Daphnia pulex: one gene and its partners. The protein of the gene in region 2 interacts with the protein of the main gene of each other region in a pairwise test. Links are inferred from orthologs where the notes say so. Each region holds a gene or a part of one and is shown on either strand. Other genes may lie near its edges.

Region 1 (5,294 bases), on a different chromosome or scaffold from region 2:
CAATTCGTTGACTCGATGACCTGAGTATCTCTCTCTGTGTGTGTGTGTGTGACTTCGTCTTTCCATTTATAACCTCCACTGTTGTTGCTCTCACCATCCGCTGGTCGTGTCTTATTATGTCGCCATTTCGATTATTTGACCTTCTTCCCTCGTTTCCACTCCGCACAGACTCACGCAGTGAGTACACACACACCACACGTATTTTGATTTTCCACCTCTAATTAGCGAGTTGGATGTATTGAAAAAAAAGACAAAAAAAAAAGAGTCCCATCGACTGATTGTATCATGCTATGTATAAATTACCTGAGACTGTGTTCAAAAATTGTCACCACAGAGCCGACGACAACAACAACAACCATTTCTCCTGCTCCTCAACCCGTTTCTTTTGGTTTTTGTTGTCCTCCCAGCGTGTGTGCTGGTTGCGCGGGTCTGTGGACAAGTCGTGTCGTGATTACCCACATTATCTTTCTCTCCCTCTCTCTCTCGTGTTCGTGCTCGCGCGAGCGAGATTGAGCTCACTGGCCGTCATTATGGAGCGACGACGACGTCTTGCTGCGCTTCTTTCCTCTCCCGACCCCGCCCAATTTGAGACGAAGAATTATTGAGGTTAAAGCGACAAGGAGAAGAACAAACAAATGTGTGCTGCAGTTGCGCAGTGTGGGCTTTTTTTGATTATTTGATTTTCTTTTTTTTTTGTTCAAAACCGAACGGACCTCACAGATCAGATCCGATTGTCAGCAGATTCGGGATCGTCGGTTACCCCCCATTTTTTCCCTTCATTCTGAAACTCGCTCACCCCCCTTACAAACTTTAATTGCCGTTTGATTCACCCCCCATCTTTTATTTTCTCTCTCTCTCTCTCTAAATAGATATACAGAAGATTTTATATATTATATTATCGATTCTATTACGTCGAAACAAAAGCCAATCATTTGTCTTTTATTTTCCATGCGTGTGTGTGTGTTTCAGATTCCAGAAGCTCAGTACAAGAATTGTATATACATGTTCGCACAGACACAACAAACACAATGTAGTTTTTCTTTGACGTTTGATTTCGATCCAACCACTTTATTATTACGTCTCTCTCTCTCTCTCTATCTCTCTCTGGCTCATCGATTTTGTCCTTAATTGTGAATAACTTGTTTTGAAATCATCTCTTTAGCTTCCCGTATCATGTTGTTTCACTACCCGCCGATCCTTCCCCTCCGCCATTCGAATGGAGACGAAAACAAAGTTTCGAAAAAGAAAGAAAATCAACTTCATTAAAAAAGAGGAAGTGTTTTTGAGTGATGTGATTAAATACTCGGATGAGCATGGCTATGTGATGTAGTGCGATTACATCTCCAAAAAATCCACCCCCAACCCTCAACCCATTTCCACACTTTGAAAAAAACAAAAATGTTACATAACATGTGTGACGATGATGTGATTATAACTGAAAAGAGAGAAGAAGTAAACCCGGTTTGAAAAAGATAATAACAGAAAAATAATCGACGAAAAGATAAAAAAAAAATACACACAAACACACACTGTCTATACCATACGATTGACTTCTCAGTTATTGTTTTATTATTTATTATTCCGCAGCATCGGCGGAATATACTATCATTATTTGCACATAAAAGTTGATGATGAAAGAAAACAAGATTTTTGCCATCATTAATCAAGTATCGAACATTTACAACCGCCGAAGAGCGGGGACACCAATTGAGAAACATTTCAAATAAAAACCTACACCTAGCCCCCAAACTGAGCACGATTCAATGAAAGTAACTGATGACGATAAACAATTCGAAAAAAGATAAATCAGATTCTTTTAAGTAAGTTGAGAGGACTGCTGCTTCTGAACTAAAGGACAAAAGGGACAAATTCATTAGTGTCAGCTCGCTGGAGTGGTCCAGCCGGTCGCGAGGACACTGAAGACAAACATGTTGTTGGATTAATAATCTGACAAGAATTCCGGGGTGTCACTCTACACCGTGAGCAAAAATCATGATGAGACCCGGTTCCAATATCATATCTGGATTCATATGTCCGTTGTCGCAGGCCATGACGGCCACGGCTTGTTTGCCCGGAATCCTCCGGCAGACATAGTTCTCGTATTGACGCCGGTTCAGCTGGCGGATTTCCAACGACGACAATCCCGTCGGCCACCGCCGTTCGTGGGCGTTTTCCATCAGATCCTGGATGATGTGCGGTGGGCAACCCGATTCGGAAAGGGCTCTCTTGATCATTGCCTGCAACTTTAAAAGGTTATCGTATTTGATTGAATGTATTGAGCTCGCCAACTGTAGGATATTACCTGTAGCACCGTGTCCGGAGTCGAGATCATGCCACCCCAGCGCAGGACTCTCGCCTTGGGTAGAGTTTCGGCCCAGCGTCTCACTTCGTCGGCTTCCATCTGATCTGCCAGAATCCGCAGCGAAGGATTGGCGTTCCGCATGGCTAGCATGTAGTCCTTCAGCAGCTGCAGTTCTCGTTTCTGTTCGCTCATCTGAAATTTGCCCTCGGCTACTTCCGCCTGCACCTCAACTAGTTTCGATTGCTGGGCCTGCATCAACGAGCGCAGCTCTCGCACGCAGTTGTGTTCCTGGAAATGCAATCAACATAAATAAGGTACTATTTAAAGTTGTAACCTGTAAAACAACCCACTTACTTTCAACTCGTCTTTTGGCACAACTAGCCCACAGCCGAGCTCACATGGCACCGGTCTCTTTGGATTGAACTCACATTCTTGTACATGAGACTCCAGGGCATCTAGTTTCAATATTGCAGTGCACCCATAAACAGAGTTATCACAAGTGAGCTGTAGTCTAGAAAAATAATAGAGAAATGGTACAATTTCATACTGATAATAAGGTTTCAAACTTCCAAACCACCAACCTGTATAGTAGGTTCCGAAGTATTCTGGGAACAGGTCTCAGCTGAGGAGGGGTTATGTTTTGTCTGTCGACAGGACAAGTTGGCTGTCTCGAGAGCCACTCGTGAATGCAAGCAGAGCAAAATGCATGCTCACAGTTGGGTGCCTGAAATTACAAGTCTATTAAATCCATCACATTCCCTCTGGGGAAATTTTATTGCTACTCTCGCTTTTGGAAGCGAACTGTCATTATTACCTGTAACGGATTTTCGAGCACTGAACTACAAATTGGACACAACAATTCTTCATCAACTTCTCCTTGAAATCGATTTATTTCAATTCCCATTTTTCTTGGTTAACAAAACGGCCAAGAAAACTTTGACCTAATTAAGTAAACACACCTGCTTCTCAGTAAGAGTTCGCGTTTCTTTCTTTTTTAATAAAGGGGGAACAGAATTGACGTACCTAAATAAATGCAACAACAAGGTGTTGCAGAGCCATCGGGCGGTAGAAAAATTAAACCGTAAAACGCAGTCTGACGGTTAGGGAACGAAGTTTACATATGGAAGTGCCAACGTCACTTCTTTTCATTTCAAACCAATCCTTCAAATGCTGAACATGTAAGTTGATCAACACGTGGTTATTCTGGGTTTTCTAATTTTTTAGTTTCTCATTTAAGTTTTGAAAACGTAGTTGTAGGATATGGTTAACGCTCTTAACACAGTAATTAGCCTGAACATTTTTAATATCTATATGTGTATTGCTTTGGTAAGGTTGAAGTCTAATAAAACCGACTTTCTCTAAGAAGTATATTATAGAGAAAGAAGCCTCAGGTTGGTCTGGGGTTTCTTTGGTTAAAATGGACAAGTTTGATAATAAGTAGTTTTAAGTGAAATTCCATGTTCAGTCTGAAATCAATGTTGCAGTAACGGTCATGAGGCGAATGAAATTTCCTCTTGTCTAGTAACTAACTTGTCAATTTAAGTTGTTAATTTGCCTCATGTAGGAACAGGTTTGATTATATCTCTTAATCTGTTCATTTTAGGTTGATATCTTCAATGCCAGGAGGGATGATGGCAGATGAGTGCAAGGATCGGAAACAATTTTTGAAGGGCTGTGAGACAAATCATGCATTTAGGCTACATTGGTGCCTTGAAGACGACTAGTTTGGAAGGTAAAAACGAATTCCTATTGTATATGGGTAAATAGTCCTGATGACCCTAGGATTACAATGAAATTTAGTGTACCTAAATTAATATTTTGATTAAATCTCTATCGCAATATTCTGAAGTGTAGACCAAAGCAGTATCACACTGAAATGGTTTGTAGATTTTCATGATCAATTATGTCTAGATTGATTTCTGACCTCACTTGGTTTTGCACCGGTTGGTTGTAACCTATCTTCCAGAATTCGCTGATTTGAATGTAATCGAGGAATAAAGGTTGGTTTTCTTATCATATATGTAAAATATGCTGTTGGATTTTGCTGATGACACTCTTAGGACACCTAAATATGTACCCTGATTACTAAATGTGCTGAAAGTATCGAGTGACTTGTCGTCATTTTGGTCTAGTCCTCGCCTTAACGTTATATCGTTTTTACAGAGAAGATTCCATGCCAAGACATTTCGTGGAGGATGGATGTCGACTGTTACGGCTATGGAGCCAATGGAGGAGGTATAGTTATTTTTACATTTGCATTTGAGCCTCAGAGTCACCGGTTTAACGCACATGTAGTATTCCGGTGCTAGAGGATCTCATAAATTAAACGTCTAACCACTTATGCTCGATCTGTATTTATTGCAGAGGTTGATCACCTCGGTTTGAGACAATTTGTTTTGACTTTACAGGAAGATTTAACATTTTAATGGTGTTTATTTTTATTTTTTTGCAGGCAGTGGGTGTGCATTACACTAGATGAGATACAATCATGAAGGTGTTTGCGATTCTTAGGTAAATGGACAGTTTTAATGGTTTCTTTTGGATTTTTGTGATGAACAACAGTTTCCTGTGTTTCTGACAACCATGAAGACCCACTCGAGTCCCTGATAATTCAGGCTTTTTAATATCATTTAATCGGCTGTAAACAAATATTGACGATTTGTTTGGTTCGTTTATTCAGATTGTCTTGTTTAACAACCGCCGTCGATTGTTGAGCTACTGGGCCAAAAACTGGAGTTTCATTTTCTTTCGTTTCGAGATGCTGGTGATTTCATGATCTACGTAGTGAGTAGAGAGAATTACTTGTAATGTTTAACGTAAATTGAAATGATGAGAACGCTTAAAAGCATTTTCCGAGTTCCATGATGATTCATTCTGCCTTCCTTTTGATCTTTAACTGAGTTGACGATATCAGCGATACAAACTGATGTTATAGATTTATTTTTTTCTGTAGGTAATGTGGTATTGCTTCTTGGTCAACGTCATTGGAATC
Region 2 (5,294 bases):
CATGTATTCAACAAATCAGGCTTCAAATCTTTAAAATTTAGAAAGCTGGCTTGTACCTTCTGACTTCTACCATTAATTGATGAATGTTAATCAAATCAGCACGAGCAGGAACGTTGCGGAATGGATGTTGGGTTAGGATTTTTTGGAAACGGTGGTAGTATTCGACGAGTTGAGTCAACGTCGCTTGTAGAATGTTGGTTCCGTTTTTGAAATTCGGAAACAGATTTAAGATTTCTTTATTAATCTCGTCCAAAGATTTCTTCCATCCAGCCATGAAAGCGTTTATGGTTTGCGTGGCCCGACCTTTAAGCCGATTAAAGAGAAACGGAACAATTCTATATATCGAGAGACAAAACTAATAATAAAATTAAAGACTTTAAAAAATGCATACGTTCTTCGTTCCGCAACGCTTCGTTAAGCCCTCGAGTAAGCATGACTTCGCAGTCTTTGACGAATCGGACGAGTCCCTCAAAATGGAAAAAAAGAATTTCTTCGACAAATTCTGAAATTCTAGCAGACAGCAATTCCTTACACCGAGCGGCTTCACGACTTTCTTCTCGGTTGCGCTCCTTAATAAATAGACAACAAGTTTTAATACATAAGCTGAGAAACTCGGTAAAATACTAAAATCTAGTTATATTACGGTCATCACACTCAGCATCAGGTCGTAGTTGTTGATTAGGGCTACTAATTGATCCTTTCGTTTAGTAAAGGCTGCAGCAAGGCGCAACGTGAAGCCTTCAACCTCCTCTTGCATGGTCGAAAGTAAATGGTGTAGGCGTGGAGTCCAGTCCATGGCTGAAGTTATACTGTTATGCTCTTTTTATACAAAATAAAGAAAATTACGACACAAGAATTAATGCAATAGGAAAAAAAGTGTTTAACCGTGAATCGCAGAAATGGCTGAAGTATACTCGGCGTATCGTCGCACTACCTATTAATGTTTTTTCGTTAGTTTAGAAATTTAATCAAAGTATGTTTAAGGTAAATACATAGTGTGGTCGCGTATCAATGTTTGAATAAAGTCTAGATGGATCGCAGTCACGGACACTCTGAATGTTTGCTTGTACCAAATATTCAAATCTAAGAAATATGGCAAATATTAAAGAAAAAAGTCAACAAATCATTTAAATTTAACAGTATTACCTAGGCCATAACGTGGAGACGAGAGATTCGTAATAAAAATCTAAAGCTGGAACGGCTCTCTTGTGGCAAAGATATTGCAAACGTTGGACCATTTGGATGCAAAGAAAAAGGGCAAGTGAGTCATAACAAGACGAAACATATTCTTCCACAAATTTCTAAAAAGAAAAAAAAAACAAATGACGCTAGAAAGGAATAATATGCTGCGCATTGTGTATAGTAAACTTACCATATAAATAGTGCAGGTCTTCCCCATTACTTCTTGAAATAGCTCCATGGCAGGGGCTCTTTCAACGTGGAAAAATTCACAGAGGAACAAATACTCGCGGCAAGCATTATCGGCCAATGCGTAGTGTTGAGATCGGAAAACGATTTCATACGAATATTTCGTTTCACCTTTATGGCCAGCGCTGGTACCAGTGGCAGCTGCGTGAGGAACTAGAACAGGGGCTTCTAAGTTTGTAACAACTTCAATTCGAGTTCCTATTATTTTAAAAAAAGAAGACAGCAAAAAATAAGCAAATATATTGCAAGAAAGAATTTTTGGGGTTACCTAAGGTAAAAACCGTAGATTTACTGCTAGAACTACGCCCACTAGGAGCGGCTCTTCCAAACAAGGACCTTGCGGCGGCAGCAGCAGCCGCACCTAACGATGCATCTTCGGAAGCAAGAACATCATCTTTATTAACACTATTTGAATCCACAAGTTTCAGTAATCGCGTGGAGTAGCTCTAGAACAAGAAACAATTGAGAATATAGACGAAAAAATCATAATTTATATCCAAACAAATTATTATTATTTCTTAAATCAAAACACGAACCTTAAAATAAGAGAAATATAGCTTTGACATTGTCTGCACATAGTCTTGCCTCACTTCATAAGCTATTTCAGGCTCTTGGGTTATGAGAAAGTGGTAAAAATTCCTAGTGAAACAAAACATAAATGTGAATTGTATTTGGAATCCAGAAAGAAAACCCAGAGGCTTACTTGTGTTTTAGAAGAGAATTCTGTGGTAGTTGATAATTAGCAAGTGGCCTTCTAAGTTGTTGTAGTTTCAAAAGCAGAAACTGCCTAAGTCTTTCAACCACCTTAATCCTTAATGCACCTAGGACAGGAACCACATCCTTAAAATGCATAAAATATTAGGTAGAAAATATTAGACATTTTTTTTAAATCACAAACTCAAACTATATGGTTAGGCCTACTCACTTGAGCAGCTCTACTGCACCTCTGATGGTGATCACCACTCAAAGCCAACTTTGCTTGAAGTATTATCAACTGTTCAGAGAACGAAGGCTCTGTCACTGGAGTTTCAAGTAGATGTCTATTCAAGAATGTTAAATTTTTAAAAATTACAACACATAGACAAATAGATGTACTTTGTAATTTTACCTTATCAGGGCTTCAGGAATTACCAAATCATCAATTATTTGTCCTGCCAAGGATCTAGCTGCCTGTCGATTAGACAAACGTAATCCCAACTGAGCTGATTGGTGCTGGAGTTGTAAAATATCACTGCTTAAACCACCTAGTTGAGATCTGAAGGTACTTAGAAGCACTTCCATTCTTTCAAGAGCGACATCACATTGGGTGAACTGTGAATGAAGCTGTGCTAATGATGTTCCCTGATTGACATAATCTTGCACAGACACTAGTTCAACCTGGAAAGAGGAAGTTGGTTAGCTGAACTCATAACATGTCAAAAATGTATACCTCTTGTAATTGTTGTTCTACTTGTTGTGAATACTGTCTCAAATCTACACCCGAATTCAGAGCTTCTTTTATTATGCTGTCCTTGAGACTAACTTTTAAATCCATTTTTATCTGAGAGTCGCAATGATCTTCCATGGCTGTTAAATGTTTTTAATCAGCTTTAACGGCTTTAACCGAAATCTGACACAAACTTGTTATTGCGGCTTGTCTGGAATCGTGACGAAATCTCTCAGCTGTTTGCAGACGACCAATATCGTCTGCTTGTTGTCAAAGAGATTGTGCAAGAGTAAGATGCAAAAATTGTGAATATCTCCCAGAGATTAGGGTTTCCATTAAAGTTATCTTTCTCATTTGAAAATATTAGCGTCAGCCGAATATCCCTGAATTTCGAAACTTTTATTTTTTTTACTCAAATTTGAAGCAACGATTGAAGTCTAGATAGTACGGCTATTTTTTGCACGACAAGAGTGAGAATCTTTGCTCATTGCATGCTTCCAAGAAAGTAAAACATTTTGTGGAAGAGTTTTCGTCAACTGTTAATCAGGTTGTAATCTGACGAGTGTTGAGATTTATTATGACTTTCAAACCTCTGACAAAGGTTTTAACTCAATATTTTTAGCACTGGTCAGTAACCAGTTTATAAGGGTTCCAACAGAGGGAAAGCAATAACTGACATTTGTATACTGATCTGCCAATTTGCATTTATTCCTACATTTTCTTAATTACATTGATGATAAGTTCTATACATAATCTGCCCATACAAGAAATTAATCATGGCAAAGTCAATTGGTAAAAACTCCACACCACAGAGACCCAATCGTAGTAAAACTTTTGAAAATTATTGGGACCAAAAGGATGTTGAAGAAGGATTACGGAATGAGTCCCTTTTTGAAGTAGGTTTTGGTTATATTCAGAATTAATTGATGTAATGTTTTAACTGTCTGTGTTTGTTGTATTTATAGGGTGTTTTAAGAATCAATCCTAAAAACTATAAAGAGGCATACATTTCTGCACCTGTAAGTATTGCTTGCAAATTTGTTTTCACAAGTTTTGATATTCAAAAGAACTAACTGAACAAATCTCAATGGTATTAGGATGGAACCGAAGATTTTCTGATTGAAGGAATTTTGCACAGAAACAGAGCACTTAATGGAGATATTGTTGTTTGTGAGATGCTGCCAACACAAACTGCAAACAAAGAATGTGAAAAAAGTTTTGCTGAGAGTCCGAGTTCACCAAACATTCAGCAAAACGAACAGCCTATTACTCCAAAAAATTTGGCTGCAGCCAGTGAACTCAAAGAAAATATTTCAAAAGTGACTGAAAAGGAAGTTCAGTGTGTGGATGCAGATTTAGCCGCTTCACGTGAAGTTAGGGGCGCGAAAACCCTGGGACCAAAAAATAGGAAAAAGCCGAAGAAATTGATGGAAAATGTTTCAAATTTAAATCTTGGTGCAGAATTGCAAGACAAAAGCGGTCTAAAAACCCCTTCAACAATGGCCGAAAATGTAACTAACGTAAATACTTTATTTTTTTTTATGTACTTGAAGATAATAACTTAGAAACTCATTGCTTTCTTTAGTTGGATAATCCTGCGGAAGAGCAGAGAAAAAGAACTCGCAGGCCAAGAAAGAAGAAAAATGTCATTGTTGAAAATCTCACCGCACAATTAAGCGCATCATGTACAATTGAGGATTCTTTAACGAAGACTACCACCGTTCAAGTAGAAACTTTAAGCGTAGTTTTACAGAATAAATCACACATAAATACGGCTGGAACAATTGATGAAAATAGTCAACAGAACCCAAATATTGTCAATACCCCAAGAAAAATTGCCAAGGTAATTTCGTCATTTTCATGAAGTGTTTTAAAATGTTTTAAATTATTGCTTCTAATTGACAGGTTGTATTCATCAAAGAGCTAAAGCACTCAAGGTGTGCTATTGGCAGTTTGAGACAATGGCCTTACGGTCAATCCGGACCATTACCGAGTTGGATTTTGTTCGCACCCAAAGACCACCGTATCCCTCGTTTGAAAATTCCGTTTGCGCCAGAACTCGCTAGTTGCTTATTACAACCCAATATGCTCTATTTAGCTCGTATAGATTCGTGGGAAGATGTCAATCATCCATTAGGGTAATTAAGGATTTTATTACTTCATATTTTTAAGCGTTGTGATTTATAGTTTCATTTTCTTTCTCTAGATCGCTCTGTTATTTTATTGGTAAATCGGGTGATATCGAAGCAGAGACAATAGCTCTTCTACTCGAACACGAGGTTGACTATGGTGATTTTCCCCAAGAAGTCTTCGATGACCTGCCTTCACTCCCATGGAGTATCCCAACAGAAGAAATTAAAAAGCGTCGAGACTTCAGGTTAGTTAACACATTTCATCCTCATTTTCAATTTGCTATAATTTTTTTTTCCCCTTAATAGAC
Region 3 (5,294 bases), on a different chromosome or scaffold from region 2:
AAAAAAATGAAGAAAAACCAAGACTGAAAGTGTGACACGTACAGTACATTTGGATGTGAATCGTCGCGCAAGCGTGCCCAGTTGAACACGAAAAAAGTCTCCAGCCAACGAAACGGCTCTAGACAAAACAGAAATTGAGCCATCGCAGGACTCCCCCCGAGGTCGAATCGATTTGGTATGCGAAGTGCAGACAGTCCGTTTGTGATTTGACTATACACACGTGTACCTTATGTCTCCATGTTATTTATACATATTATATATATACGATAAACGCTGTGGTATTGTTCGCCTGTAATTCCCTCTCACGTAAAATGACATCAATTTTTGGAATCACTCATTAACCGTTGGCTTTTGACTCTGCAATCCTTTCCGCTCTCCAAGACAACTGCTCCAAAACCAGCTCCTCTCTCAGCACTATATATGCTCCTCCTCCTGTTACATCCACAACCCATATGTCTTAATCCATATCTTGTCTACAATACGTTTCGCAAGTCTCTTCATCCATCTCTGTCGTCGTCACCCCCATTTTTTAAAGCCAGTGTATCAGGCTGCGATATAAATACACTGGTCGATTCGGCCTATTGGCCACTGGTATACTACTACTACTACCTGTCTTGGCTGAGAAAAACCCTCCAAGCAAAAGAGAAAGACTTGGTGGACTGGAGACGGCAGGAATTTTTCAATTGAGATGGATTTCTTCCTCTTCAGTCTTTTCTTTCGATAATTACATAACAAGCCGAGAGATTGAAAAAACAAACAAACAAACTTGGATACCAAAAGAGCACGGGTGAATAACTGTCAAACCGAGAATCTTCGGTCACGATGGATGAGGAAGCAGTTGGCGATGGTTCAAAGGCACACAACTCTCAATGGTCAACGTTCACTTCAAATACTCGACAAGTTTGGTCGTCCGACGACGTAACCAGATGGTAACCATCGCTGCAAAGGAAATAATATTTTAAAATTCGGGAAATCAGTTACAACATTTAAATCTAGAAATACTTACAAGGACACGGAAATGTCTAATAGGTCGGCCGTGTGGCCTCTGTACTCGCGCACCAGGGTACCACTTCTAGAGTCAATCAAACGGACCACGCCGTCCAGACCAGCGGAGAAGAGTAGATGCGTGTGTTTGGGATGCCACACGAGCTTCACGACTCCTGCTGACTGATCGTACGACTGCCTTTCGATTTGAGTTGGTATGTCCCAACAACTGATTTTCCCGCTCAGCGTGCCTGTGACGACGAGGTTCACGGATGTTTCAGGACAAAACGAAACTGCTTCGACTGAGCTCTGATCTTCAGAACCACCAACGCCCACGCAGGACAAGGTGCACAAAAGCTGCAAAAGGCAAATATTTATTAAGGATTTTTAATTTATGAGAAAATGGTGTTAATAAATACTTTGCCAGTTTGACTGTTGTATAGTTTGGCTGTAGAATCAAAAGATCCGGAGACAATCAAGTTATTGTCGCGATGACAATCGATCGAGGAAACACCATTCGTGTGAGTTTGTCCTCCATTTGAGTGCTGAAGAACAGCCAAGGTTTTCAAATCAAACACTTTCACCGAACCGTCAACGTAGCCAACAGCTATCCGCCTACCTGTTTTAATAAATTACAATTCAAAATCAAGCCAATAGATTCTTTATCGTCAGTAATACCATCTGGAAGAATTTTGCCACATTCGTTCCTCTCTCCATGACCGGGTAAAGTTTTACAATCTCCAGACGGAATTTTCCACATCCAAGTGTCTCCTGCGTCAGTACCAGCAAATAAAATATGGGATGCTGGGTGCCAATCTATCCACTAGAAAAAAATTAATAATAATCAACATTCATATCGCTTGTTTTTTTTTCAAATAAGTCTTACAGTTAAATCTCCCGTTTCAAATGTCCAAACGACAGATTTGGTTGCCACCTTCCAAACTTGGATTAAGCCGGCCATATCAGCTGTGGCGACGTAGCAACCGTCATGACTAAAAAGTGCGCAGGTGACAGAGTCTTGATGATTTGTACATTCAAAAAGAACCTGGCCATCTGTGATATTCCACACATATGCTTTGTCGTCCTCTCCACCCGACACAACCAGTTTACTTTCCTTGGGTTCGAAAGAACAACAAAACACTGAACCTGTGGAAGATTAAAATATTTGAGCAAATTGTAATCACTTGCATGGTATCGATCAGCATCAAGAAGCACTTACCAGTATGTTGCTTGAATGTTAATAAAGCATCATCGGGTATGTCTAGTTCTTCCATTCCATCTTCACCTTCTGCTTCATTTTCACCATCCTCACCTTCTGCTCCCTCTTCATTTTCAATATCTTCTTCATAGACTTCAATCACTTCAAAGTCTTCATCTTCGTTCTGGTTTCCGACAATTTCTTCATCAGAATCATTGGGCTCTTGATCACGTGGAGAAACAGGAGGGGTATTGGTTTCACCCATGCTGCTCAAAATACAAAAATTTCCAGCATTACAGTATATGTGTAGAAAAACAAAATTTATTGCTATCCCACATCCCAGCAACTTAACATTTTTTTACATAATTTTTAGCACAACAGTAAGTATTTGTATTCCTATCAAATGAAAATATCTTGCAAGACTTGAAAAATATTTCTAAATATTAATGTCATGACTGAACGATGGAAATACACATTAAACAAAAAAAGTTTTTAGCTGACCTGATATTGACGATGTTGACGAAATATTCCAAGCACGTGCTAGAAGCAGACGAACGAAAGCACAGAATACGAATGTCAGCAGGATGCAGGTTGCCATATCAAATATTTCAATTTAGAATCGAGAGACATTAAAAAAAAGTAAATTTTAACAAAATTTTAAATAAAAAAATCTTTGTTTGTTAGTTCTTAGTGAATGGTGTAACCTTGAACTAGGAACATAGATTTCTCTTCAAGACGCGACTTAGTCAGACTTACTGATTTAAAAATCACGCTTGAACGTTGAACGACATAAAAAATTAAAAAAAAACTGAGAAACTATTTTTTTTAATGTTAGACTTCCGTCTTGAATTCTCGACCAGCGACAGCGTATAGCATACAAATCGTTGGTAAACTGTTCAACGTTTTAAATTGTTTGTTTTAAAAGTCTTCTGAGAATTTCATGGTTATTATTTGACTTTTCTAGGATTGGAGAACATTATTTTTGTCGTAAATTGGTAATATCAACAACGTAAGGCAACAGTAAACTGTCAAAATATATTTTTCAGAAGAGAAAACTGCTTATTTTAAATTTTAAATCAATAGTTTCGTCCTTCGTTATCAGATTTCATAAGAATTCATTTCACGATTTGTGTCAACCCTACTTCCTTACTTCTTCCTGCATTTAGAAAATGTGAATTGTGGATAGATTACGAGTTGATTCTAACACCTGATTAGATTTCGGAATGAAAGACTAATAGGGTCAGATAAGTCATAAGAAACGTTACATTACATTCTTCGCTAGAAAAAATGTCGAAAGAACGAATGAGAGAAAAAAAATCAATGTAAATGCACTTCTCAAGCAACGCCTTTTTTTCCAAAGAAACAGGATTTCCTGGTAGACATGAAATTCTATCCTAGTTTCCAGTTGATATCTACACCAATGAACGTATAATCAATAGCAATACATACGAGCTAACGAACATACCATTCGATATATCAGTGCACAACAATTCCTCTACCAACGTCGCACACAACGTCAATCACATTTTTATTGAAAAAGAGAGGAATTTTATTTATTTAACATTACATAACGTACTTTGTTCAATGCTACGTTGTGACTTTTTCATATCGTCTACGTGGTCATTTCGAGTTTGGCGCTTTTCGAACCCTGGCGTACGCTGCTACTCTTTTGTTTTCTAGTTCGTAAAACTGTCGTTATTTAAATTATGGCGCTGTGCAGCCATTGCATTCTTACTGCTTGCCAACGAGGAAAATCACGCACTTCTGAAAACAACTAGAAATTTTCTAGTTCGGTTAAAAAAAAACAATATTTTGATGGTTCATCAAATAAATTAATGGTAAGAAAATATTTATTTACATCTGGAGCTGACAATGTGAGGAAATTTAAGGCGGATTATCTCTTCAATCGCTTCCGCTCCTCAATTCCCATATTGTTGTTTTATGTAGTCCAGTTGTGATCTCATTGCTGTTCCAATTTCAAATCTAGAACATTTTAATTTATTCTAGGTATTTTCATAATGGCTGAGTCTGCAGTGCCAGCAAAATCTCCTGCCATTATTAAGGAGGGCTGGCTACTAAAAAGAGGTGGGTTATAACATAACAACACTACCTACAATCTTATTGTTGTTGTGAATACTTATTTAACATTCCTTTGTTTTTCAGGTGAACACATAAAAAACTGGCGTCAAAGATATTTTGTGCTGCTAGATGATGGATCATTACTTGGATTCAAGCACAAGCCTGAACCAAGCATTGGGCTTGCCGAACCACTCAATAATTTCACTGTAAAAGGATGCCAAATTATGAAAGCTGTAAGAAATTTAGCAAAATGCTTTTGTTGTGGTTTTTTTTCACAATTTTAACACAATATTCACAATACCCCTTCTACTAATAGGACCGCCCAAAACCATTTACTTTCCATATTCGTGGTCTTCAGTGGACAACTGTAATTGAAAGAACTTTTCATGTTGAGTCAGAAAAAGAAAGGTGTGTGAATGAACAAAACTTGTTATTTCAGATTACATAACAATTTATAATCTGAAAAAAATAATATTATTGTTTGTTGCAAGTGGATTTAACTAATTTTCCAAAAAATGATGTTGGTGTTATAGGGAAGAATGGATGGTCGCTATAGAGCATGTGGCTGCGCGACTTCATACAGATACAGATAGTACCGACGTAGATATGCCAGCTGTATCCGAAGAAAACGATCTGAAAAACTCTTCGTCACCCTCGTCCCTGTCCAATAAAATGGTTTCTTCGCCGATGGATTCAGGGAATGATGAATTTCAAATGAAATTTCTCATAACTGGAACCTCTAATCGACCCCATCATTCAGGAAAAAAGAAAGTGGTACGTAAATGAATTCATTGAACTGACTAAAAAAGCATCGAAGTTATAGAGTTATTCGTTAAAACAGCGATAATCCAGTTTTTATTTTTAATCTAAAACGACGTATTATATTGGATTTCTTGTTGTCTTTCGTTTTTCACGTTAGACTTTGGAAAATTTTGAATTTATCAAAATGTTGGGCAAAGGCACGTTCGGAAAAGTCATTCTTTGCCGAGAAAAAGGCACTGGGCACTTATTCGCCATAAAAATCCTGAAAAAG

The links.
Region 1: the proteins of vacuolar protein sorting-associated protein 52 homolog (region 2) and E3 ubiquitin-protein ligase NRDP1-like interact in binary tests that used the Homo sapiens proteins (3 or more experiments, as listed by UniProt). The link is inferred for Daphnia pulex from reciprocal best matches to the Homo sapiens genes VPS52 and RNF41.
Region 3: the proteins of vacuolar protein sorting-associated protein 52 homolog (region 2) and angio-associated migratory cell protein-like interact in a two-hybrid assay, tested with the Homo sapiens proteins (2 studies listed by BioGRID and IntAct). The link is inferred for Daphnia pulex from reciprocal best matches to the Homo sapiens genes VPS52 and AAMP.

Annotation. Positions count from the first base shown.
Region 1 is NC_060021.1:11,014,837-11,020,130, reverse strand, and holds E3 ubiquitin-protein ligase NRDP1-like, read right to left. Parts: upstream 3,259-5,294; 5' UTR 3,207-3,258; coding exon 3,117-3,206; intron 3,027-3,116; coding exon 2,884-3,026; intron 2,814-2,883; coding exon 2,657-2,813; intron 2,591-2,656; coding exon 2,303-2,590; intron 2,244-2,302; coding exon 1,968-2,243; 3' UTR 1,537-1,967; downstream 1-1,536. UniProt on the Homo sapiens protein: Acts as E3 ubiquitin-protein ligase and regulates the degradation of target proteins. Polyubiquitinates MYD88. Negatively regulates MYD88-dependent production of pro-inflammatory cytokines.
Region 2 is NC_060027.1:4,798,531-4,803,824, reverse strand, and holds the start of vacuolar protein sorting-associated protein 52 homolog, read right to left. Parts: upstream 3,009-5,294; 5' UTR 2,993-3,008; coding exon 2,858-2,992; intron 2,806-2,857; coding exon 2,537-2,805; intron 2,469-2,536; coding exon 2,354-2,468; intron 2,269-2,353; coding exon 2,132-2,268; intron 2,068-2,131; coding exon 1,965-2,067; intron 1,875-1,964; coding exon 1,697-1,874; intron 1,627-1,696; coding exon 1,373-1,626; intron 1,302-1,372; coding exon 1,147-1,301; intron 1,084-1,146; coding exon 993-1,083; intron 935-992; coding exon 886-934; intron 820-885; coding exon 644-819; intron 570-643; coding exon 392-569; intron 304-391; coding exon 38-303; 3' UTR 1-37. Other genes in the region: DIS3-like exonuclease 2, read left to right, coding at 3,631-3,750, 3,820-3,873, 3,952-4,374, 4,440-4,697, 4,760-4,992, 5,061-5,231, 5,293-5,294. UniProt on the Homo sapiens protein: Acts as a component of the GARP complex that is involved in retrograde transport from early and late endosomes to the trans-Golgi network (TGN).
Region 3 is NC_060020.1:4,206,238-4,211,531, reverse strand, and holds angio-associated migratory cell protein-like, read right to left. Parts: upstream 3,666-5,294; 5' UTR 3,651-3,665; coding exon 3,648-3,650; intron 2,723-3,647; coding exon 2,685-2,722; intron 2,449-2,684; coding exon 2,204-2,448; intron 2,131-2,203; coding exon 1,871-2,130; intron 1,808-1,870; coding exon 1,663-1,807; intron 1,604-1,662; coding exon 1,404-1,603; intron 1,342-1,403; coding exon 1,007-1,341; intron 940-1,006; coding exon 867-939; 3' UTR 674-866; downstream 1-673. Other genes in the region: RAC serine/threonine-protein kinase-like, read left to right, coding at 4,201-4,267, 4,346-4,494, 4,578-4,669, 4,795-5,035, 5,181-5,294. UniProt on the Homo sapiens protein: Plays a role in angiogenesis and cell migration. In smooth muscle cell migration, may act through the RhoA pathway.